2 linked regions of the Nothobranchius furzeri genome follow. Each later gene encodes a partner of the first gene's protein in a complex. Links are inferred from orthologs where the notes say so. Each region holds a gene or a part of one and is shown in the gene's direction. Other genes may lie near its edges.

Evidence for each region. The genes of interacting proteins can lie anywhere in the genome.
Region 2: emc2 (region 1) and emc9 share a complex: the UniProt entries of both Homo sapiens proteins name them as parts of the ER membrane protein complex. The link is inferred for Nothobranchius furzeri from reciprocal best matches to the Homo sapiens genes EMC2 and EMC9.

What each region holds. Positions count from the first base shown.
Region 1 is NC_091745.1:54,005,928-54,009,916, reverse strand, and holds the start of emc2 (ER membrane protein complex subunit 2), read left to right. Parts: upstream 1-1,181; 5' UTR 1,182-1,230; coding exon 1,231-1,306; intron 1,307-1,987; coding exon 1,988-2,101; intron 2,102-3,989. UniProt on the Homo sapiens protein: Part of the endoplasmic reticulum membrane protein complex (EMC) that enables the energy-independent insertion into endoplasmic reticulum membranes of newly synthesized membrane proteins.
Region 2 is NC_091747.1:62,729,105-62,733,145, reverse strand, and holds emc9 (ER membrane protein complex subunit 9), read left to right. Parts: upstream 1-1,231; 5' UTR 1,232-1,393; intron 1,394-1,573; 5' UTR 1,574-1,580; coding exon 1,581-1,778; intron 1,779-2,456; coding exon 2,457-2,533; intron 2,534-2,608; coding exon 2,609-2,678; intron 2,679-2,777; coding exon 2,778-2,872; intron 2,873-3,085; coding exon 3,086-3,266; 3' UTR 3,267-4,025; downstream 4,026-4,041. Other genes in the region: uncharacterized protein, read left to right, coding at 1-70. UniProt on the Homo sapiens protein: Part of the endoplasmic reticulum membrane protein complex (EMC) that enables the energy-independent insertion into endoplasmic reticulum membranes of newly synthesized membrane proteins.

The sequences.
Region 1 (3,989 bases):
GTCCCTCACAGGCACCTTGGCAGCCAAGGGAAGCCCTATACCCCAGAGGACAGTGTGTGATTGTTTTAATGTGGTTTCTTTGGTATTTGGTGTTCCAGCAAAAACTCAACCACACATCTACTGACTGCCATGTGCAGACTTGAAAATTACAAGGACCCACATTGCCAGAGCGAGCATAACTTAAACTGTACACATTGTTACTGTTTATATTCCAGAAAGAGATTATGACATTTTAGCTTTCTCCTGTGAGCGTGCACTTGTCTAGTCCTGATTAAATCAAACTGTTCTAGCATACTGCTGTTCCTTGTCCTTGTTGCCCTTTCACAAGAGAAAATCAACAAAGCATGTAACATGTGGTATGCTATGTGCAATGAGCTGCAGTGGGTATGACATTACATCTCTGATGTCCTTAGTAAGCAAGTTTATGCTGTGGCTGCATCAACAAGTGTGTGATGTGGTATAGGAGAAATGTGTAAGCAAGTCACACAGCGTCCTGGGGGAAATCAGGATAAACTGGTCTATATGCTTAATAAGCGCATTTTATATTTTGTGAAAAAAAAAAATTCTAGGGTCAGCGGACCGTGCTTTTTAGTACTTTGATGAAAAATCAAAACAATGAAAATGGAGCACAAGATCAATAGTGCTCTGCTGGCCATTTGGTGCTTTTTCCTGAATTACATAATTCAAGTTTGCAGTATATTGGAATCATATTTGTGGTGAGTTTTGGCAAGAATATGTGTAACATTACTTTTATTATTTATGTGATATGGCCAAATATGTGAATTATAATAATTCTGAATGCAAATACTGCAGAAAATGTACTGTCAATAGAAAATGAATAATTATCAAGGGTATTCAGTCTTAATGACTATGAAAATATTACCAATACACATTTCATGCTCATTCAATACCTGCTATTAATAATGTTTGATCATGTGATTTTTTTATCATCATCATCATCATCATCATCATCATCATCATCATCATCATTATCGTCACCACCGTCATCATCTGCTGCTTTCTAAGATGTTGGAACAAATGTAGATGGATTTCTTACTTTTGTTTTTGCAAATTCATCACCTACTTAATCCATTACGAATAATAATAACAATAATAATAATAATAATAATAATAATAATAATAGGGTTTTGCTACATTTAAATTTCTTTTTAATCCTGTGTTCTTTATATCATAATAGTAGTCGGGTCATCTCTCATTCATCCAACAGGTATGACGTACGCATGCTCACACTGTCCTCTGGAAAACATGGCGTCTGTATCAGAATTGTACGATGTGGGATGGGAAGGTAAGAAGGTCAATCCTTCTCGTGCATGACTGTGGCACGTTTTGATATTTTTTTTCAGACATTCAGTGATTCTTCGTGTAAGGGTTAGGGTTAATGTCTCCGTTGTCTCACCGTTGAAGTACGCTCAAATGAGAAGGCTGCCTTTGTAGCACTTAGCCAATGCTAGTTAGCTTGGTGAGCTAACCTGTCATTTTTGCGACAGACAGTAGTTAATACCAGCGTTATTCTTCTCCTCGACCCAGTTGATAACGAGTTACAGTACAGCGGTTAATAAAGTGTAAATTATCAAGTAATTGATTAAGAACGGGATGTAATAACTACTAGTACATTGTAAACGGGTACGGGTTACGAAATTAGCCAATAATGCTGCGACAAAAAACAGCTTTGGACGGGGATAACATTAGTTTTTACTACAGGTCTTATTTGTTTTCTAAGCTCTAAGGTCGTGTAATGAGCATCTAACTATTTTATTGTGAAACAAAAGCCGACAAAACTAACTTCGGATACGCTATTTTCCACGGAAGTAAGGTTACAGCTAGCATGAGTTTTATTAGCTGTCTAATAAACCTGAGCGTGTTTAGAAAAACAGTAGATTATGTATGTGAACTAAGGAATAAAAGGCTTAAATGCTGAACTGTGATGCTGCCAAAACTTTCTTATGATTGGATGCTTTTTTCACAGAGATGAGAGACAAGTTACGTAAATGGAGAGAAGACAACAGCAGGAACAGTGAACAGATAGTGGATGTTGGAGAAGAGCTCATCAGTGACCATGCATCTAAACTGGGAGATGATGGTAGGCATTTGTATTTTATTCGCCGGTTGACATAATTTTGCCTCATTTTTTTTCAAAACTGAGAAATTTCGGAAAAGTAAACAGTTTTTAATTAGTAACTCACTTATTCACACATACTAATTATCTGAGTTACTTATTCCTCAGTAGGGTTATGGGAAGCTGAGATCTAGCTGTCACCAAGTGGAACACCCTGGACAGATCTCCAGTCCATGACAGGACTACAGAGAGACAACCAGTCTAGGGCTGCAGCTATCGAATATTTTTGTAATCGAGTACTCTTATCGAATCTTTTTTTCGATTAATCGAGTACTCTAATAAATTACCCTTTTGTGTTTGTAAACCATTATATCAAATAGCATGTTATAATTATGAAAGACCTCTTAAAATGAGCAAGCAATTGCCAGTTATTCTTCAAGTTTTATTCAAAATTAGTTTTCAAAACTTCAGCACTTCAACTTTACTTCACAGTAAACAAATGCCTGTGCAAAAAATAAGTAAACAACCTGAGCCGATTTTCCCCTCGTGCGAGAATCTGCTAACCTGCAAGCCAGAGGATAACTGTTGAAGTAGCGCTGCGAGCGGCTGCGGCCCAAACAGAACCAGAACCGCTCACGGCGCATGCGCAAACAGCTCGCCGGCTGTTTCCCTATTAACACACGTCCGTTTTAATTTCTACACTTTTTTTCTCACACAATAACAAGGATTGTCGAGAAAGCATGTTTGCTGTGGTTTTGTCAAATTATACTGATCGCAAAACATTTATTTACTTTCTTTCGTTTTCCTCCGCCACTCATAAATACCTGTGTCCTCCTGCAGAAACCCCGAGGGACAACGGACATCAATAACACAATAAAAAGTCCGACGTGTTGTGTAAAACAATTTTTTAGCACATTTTAAGTTTGACGTGTTGCTACCAGATGTATGGTGTGAGCTAAAACTGAGTGCTACAAACGAAAAAGTCGCACAGCATCTGCAGAATATATAGAAATACAGGCTAAAAAGCATTATCTTGTAGAGGCTCTGAGTCCGCTTGCAGAAGTGACATTTACAGGTGCTGCAGCACGGAGGATGTGGTGTTGTGCTAGGCTAAATCCATTTTACAGTATTTATACTGGACTACGTTTTCCACCATACGACGTGAAAAATGGTCCCACACCTTTGACATTTTGTGTCTTTTTAGAACTCCACCGGGGTCTACGTTGTCCGCCATGGCTTAAGAGAAAGTTAAGTTACGTTCGCTACTCGCGTGTGCATTCAGCCCAGTGGGCATGTGCATGTGTTATTTCGGTCCGGGTGAAACATGACCCCGGGCGATTGCAAAGCCATGAATTAATATGAATTAAACGAATCCTCGAGGCAGAGAATTTGACTCGAGGATTTTTTGTACTCGAATTATTCGAGGTATTCGAGGAATCGTTTCAGCCCTAAACCAGTCACACACTCACTCACACCTAGGGATTATTTATGGCACCTTCACATCTGTCCTCGCCCAGTCTCATCTCGGTAGCGTCTTCCCCCTCCTGCGTGGCCAGGTTTTGTTCACAAATGCGGCTTCCATATCTGGTTTGGTACGGTACGGGCTGGATAGCTTTTTTGGTTTCACATCTGGGCAATATGTGCATTTTCTGTTCTGAGGTGACTTTTGCCAGACATCTTCCTTGGCGGTCCGACTGGAATCGAGTTGTTTTTAAAGGACCGTAGCGTTTGCAAAACGGGATTTGCCGCGGCACCCTGGGGAAGATTTTGGCATTTATATTAGCAAAGCGGAAGCTAGAATATACTGCCATCAGGCACCTCTCAAACCAAGACGGGATAAAAGGAGGTCGCTGGGCGGCCCCCCCGTATGTGATGTACAGGGTCGCGCATTCAGCGCAGTCTTAGCGGAAGA
Region 2 (4,041 bases), on another chromosome or scaffold:
CTTCTCCAAGTGGCCGCAAAAACCTCACCAAATGATGAAACTTCAGTCTCCAAAGAAGCGTTATTACTAGACCAACCTGTCTCAGTGGGTCAGTAAGTAACCTTATTTTACATATTTTATTTCTTCAATCTCATCTGAAACTATTTATCCCCACCCAGGTGCAGAAAAGTGGTGAGAGTGAACCTCCATGAGAACTTCCAAATAAAAACATGTAACTTAATAACTGGGTTTTGTAAAGTTTCGTTTCTTTTCTAACCTTTCTTGTAGTGTTTCAAGTGGACCATGATTTCTTGTCTCCCCTTAGTTGAAGAGTAACTGGAACATTCCATAAACTATGGGAACTGAAATATAACAGCAGTGATTCTGATTGGGTTGGATCAGGTATAGGTCTTTGGTTCCCAGCTTTAAATGGTCATTAGATTAAGAAGTGGTATCTGCTCTGCTCTGAGCCTGTCTATTCAGTTACATTAATAAAAGCAAACAGATCTAGATCTGCAGTTTACCTTTGACTTAACGCAAGAAAGTACAGTGAACTAAACCAGAAGGTAACTTTATTTTTGGCGGAACATGTTTCTGAACCATCAGGGTTTACCAGTGTGGGTTCAAATGCAAACGTGTTTAAACATTGGCTTTAAAGCATGGGGAAAATGGTCTTGCAGTAACAAAAGATTTGGGGCATATAAGCAAAATTATGTAGCACCTAAAGTTAAAACTCACGAGGTGCTTCACAAAGAAACTTAAAAAAAATTTAAGTTGAAATTGTAAGGGAAATCAGTGGATTGCAGGGGAAAATGACTATGTAAGGGCAGGATAAGGTAGTGACAAAGGGAATTAAAAGCCAGCTTGAACAGGGAATTCAGGAACTTTTAAAAGGATTCTACTGATCTCGGGCTCAGGAAAGGACCAGTCTGGTGGCCACAGCAGCGAATCTGTCACCTTTAGCCTGGTGAGCTGCACATCCAGTAGGTTTTGGTGTGCACTGGACCTCAGGGACCTGCTGGAGGTGTAGGGACTGAGACGTCCAGGGAACTCTACATTTTAATCGATGTGAAATTCCGTAAAGTTGAATCTGTCTCAAAACTGAGCAAAAATATTTTAGATTAAGTATATTTCCGTATTAAACCGCTATCTACCTCCTGTCCTTTAGAGGGCGCACGTGTCATTTAAGAGAACACGTTCTTCCCACCAATCACAGTTTAGACCCTGTCTAAGCCAATCAAAACGTTACAAATAATTTTCTGGGTGGAGCTAGTGACGGCCGTGTGGCTTTAGTCCGTTTGTGAGTAAATAACAGGCCTCGTACTGGCTTTGGTAAAGATTTAATAAACTCCCAGAGTTTGTGAAGGGTTACCATTTAGGTTTTGAACCTCTACTGTGAAACATTCCTCAGCAGGTAAGACCAGAGAGAGGTTTCTGTGCCTAGCTAGCCGGTATGCTAGCGACAGTAGCATCAGCAAACGCAGCCATGCAGGGACGTTTCCGGTCTGACTCGGAGCTGCCCACCACCACAGCTGTGAGCTGATGCTACTTCGACCCTGGCCTGGGTGTTACAGCTCCCGTTTCTCCTCCGCAGGGCCACTATGGGCGAGGTGGAGCTCTCCTGTCGGGCTTACGTGAAGATGTACTTGCACGCCTGCCTGTTTCCGCGCTGCAGCGTCAACGGGCTGCTGCTGTCCTCGTCCAGCTCGGCAGGTGGCGCTGTTTGTGTGACGGACTGCGTTCCGCTGCTGCACTCGCACCTGTCGCTGGCCCCCATCACGCAGCTGGCTCTCACACAGGTGTAGTGCACAGTTTGGTACCCCTTTGAGTCACTGTTTAAGTCTTCTCTGTTTTTCTGAACTTAAAGGTGTATTTTAATTATGTTGGCATGTTTCTGTATAAATGTTATAACTAATCCGTATCTTACCTGTTTAGTGATGACAGGCCTGATAGGCTAACGGCTAGGATAGCTTTTAAGAGACTAAAGCCAAAATAAAAGACTCAAATCCATAAAAACACATTAAAACGTACAACCTACTGGGTATTACTGAACACCAGGGAAAGCAGATGTTTTTATAAACTGGGCAGCTGTCGTCCTAACAGATCCAGATTAACCCTCTGGAGACAGGCGTTTCAGATTTGCAACGTTAAAACTTACCTACCTGGTTACTCCACACACGTATCTCATGAGTATTTTTGTAACTCAGAAGTACCCCTGAAGGACTTAGTTGTTCGTCCTTTTATTAAAACTTATTTAGAGCCTGAGAGGGTTAAAACCTAAAGCCATGTTTGTCTCAGCTTGCATCAAGTTGGACACAGGTGCAGCTATGTGTTTAAATGTGCAAAAACAAGGACATCTAATGCGAAGGTGGATCCTGTTTAATCAGGATTTATTTCTCCAGACTTCCTGGAGTCCCGCTCGATTCTCCAGGATGTTTTAAACTTCCACAGAACATTTCAAGCTTTTGTTTTTCCAGGTGGATGTTTGGTGTTCTCAGACTCAGCAGAGGATAGTCGGGTATTATCAGGCCAACGCCTGCACCTCAGACAGCAGGTGAGCTTCTCCACACCAGTCACATGGTCAGATACACCCCACCACCGCTCGCTAACGTGTTGCGTTTCCTGACAGCCCGACGCCGTGCGCGCTGAAGATCGCTGATAAGATCGCTGAGCAGTTTGATGGAGCCGTTTTATTAATGGTGAGAAAACGGATGAAACAGAACGTTTTTATTAAATGAGTCTTTCATGAATAATGAACCTTCTGCCCTCAGATTATGATCAGGTTTGTTTCCTCACAGCTCGACGGCAGCAAAATGTCTCCAGATTATCGAGTTCCTCCGATCGTCATGTACGAACGCAAAGATTCAAGATGGACGCTCAAAGACAAACACACGTAAGAATCAGCGGGGGGGTGGCCTGAGGTTCACCACCACCACTCGGGTAGTCTGTGGTTTAAACCAGGCTCACGTGAGCCGAGCACTAAACTTCATCACACCTGTATGACTAAACTCACGGAGTTGCCACCTTCTGATTGGCTGATCGGTTATTTGTGTACCTATCAAAGTGGCCGGCGCGTGTAACTGATGATCTCCGTGGGTCTGTTCAGGATCATGCTGCGGCAGTGGGAGGAGATCCGGGATGTCGCCAGCCAGATGCTGGATTCTGGTGACCACTCCCTCTTGGTAGACTTCGACAGCCACCTGGATGACATCACCAGGGACTGGACCAATCAGAAACTCAACAGCAAGATAGCAGAGCTTTGCTCTCCAGTTAATGGGAACATTTAGATGGGAACGCCGCATCATTCCGTGGTAAAACCTGCCTGTCGTGTTGTTCTGTAAAGGTGGATTTTCACAAGCGCAGAGTCCAGGACAGGATTTATTTGTGTTTGAACAAAGACAAACGTGCATAAATAATAGAATATTTACATCTCTCCCCTTTTTAAGGTGGATTAAATCCACCTTAAGAACTAAAGCTACTCCTCTTGTTTATTTCTGGTCCCGTTTTCCTGATTTATCATCTTGGAAAAGCAAAAACTCGAACGTAAAAGTCCTGCAGCGACAGATTAGACGAATTCAGCTGCTGGAGCTTTTTACTGTCGCATCAAACCTGCATGAAATTATTATTCCCTACAAATTTCCCCAGATTAAAGGATTATGTTTTAGCTTATGCTTGTATTTATTACTTATTTTTATTAGTGTGATCCTTAAAAACTCCTTGCGTGGTTTAAGAGTAAAAGTATTTGCTGCAGGACATTTAAGTCTCATTTAAACTCGACTGACCTTTCTGTAACAATCTGAACCTTTTATAATCTAGATTATAGTCTGAGCTCTAAGACGGTAAAAGTAATGCTGAAGTAATATCTGAGGCGAGTTTCACAGAAAATGTTTTATGTTGGAGCGCCGGTTTTAATGTTTCTTTTTTCAATGAACATTTTCAGATAAAATCAGTAAAAACTAAATTCTGAGGAGAAAAACGATCATTTCTAAAAGCTAATAAAAGAGAACTAAAGCATTTAACAACAATAAAACGTCATTTTCACTGCCCACGTGGTTTTGTGGT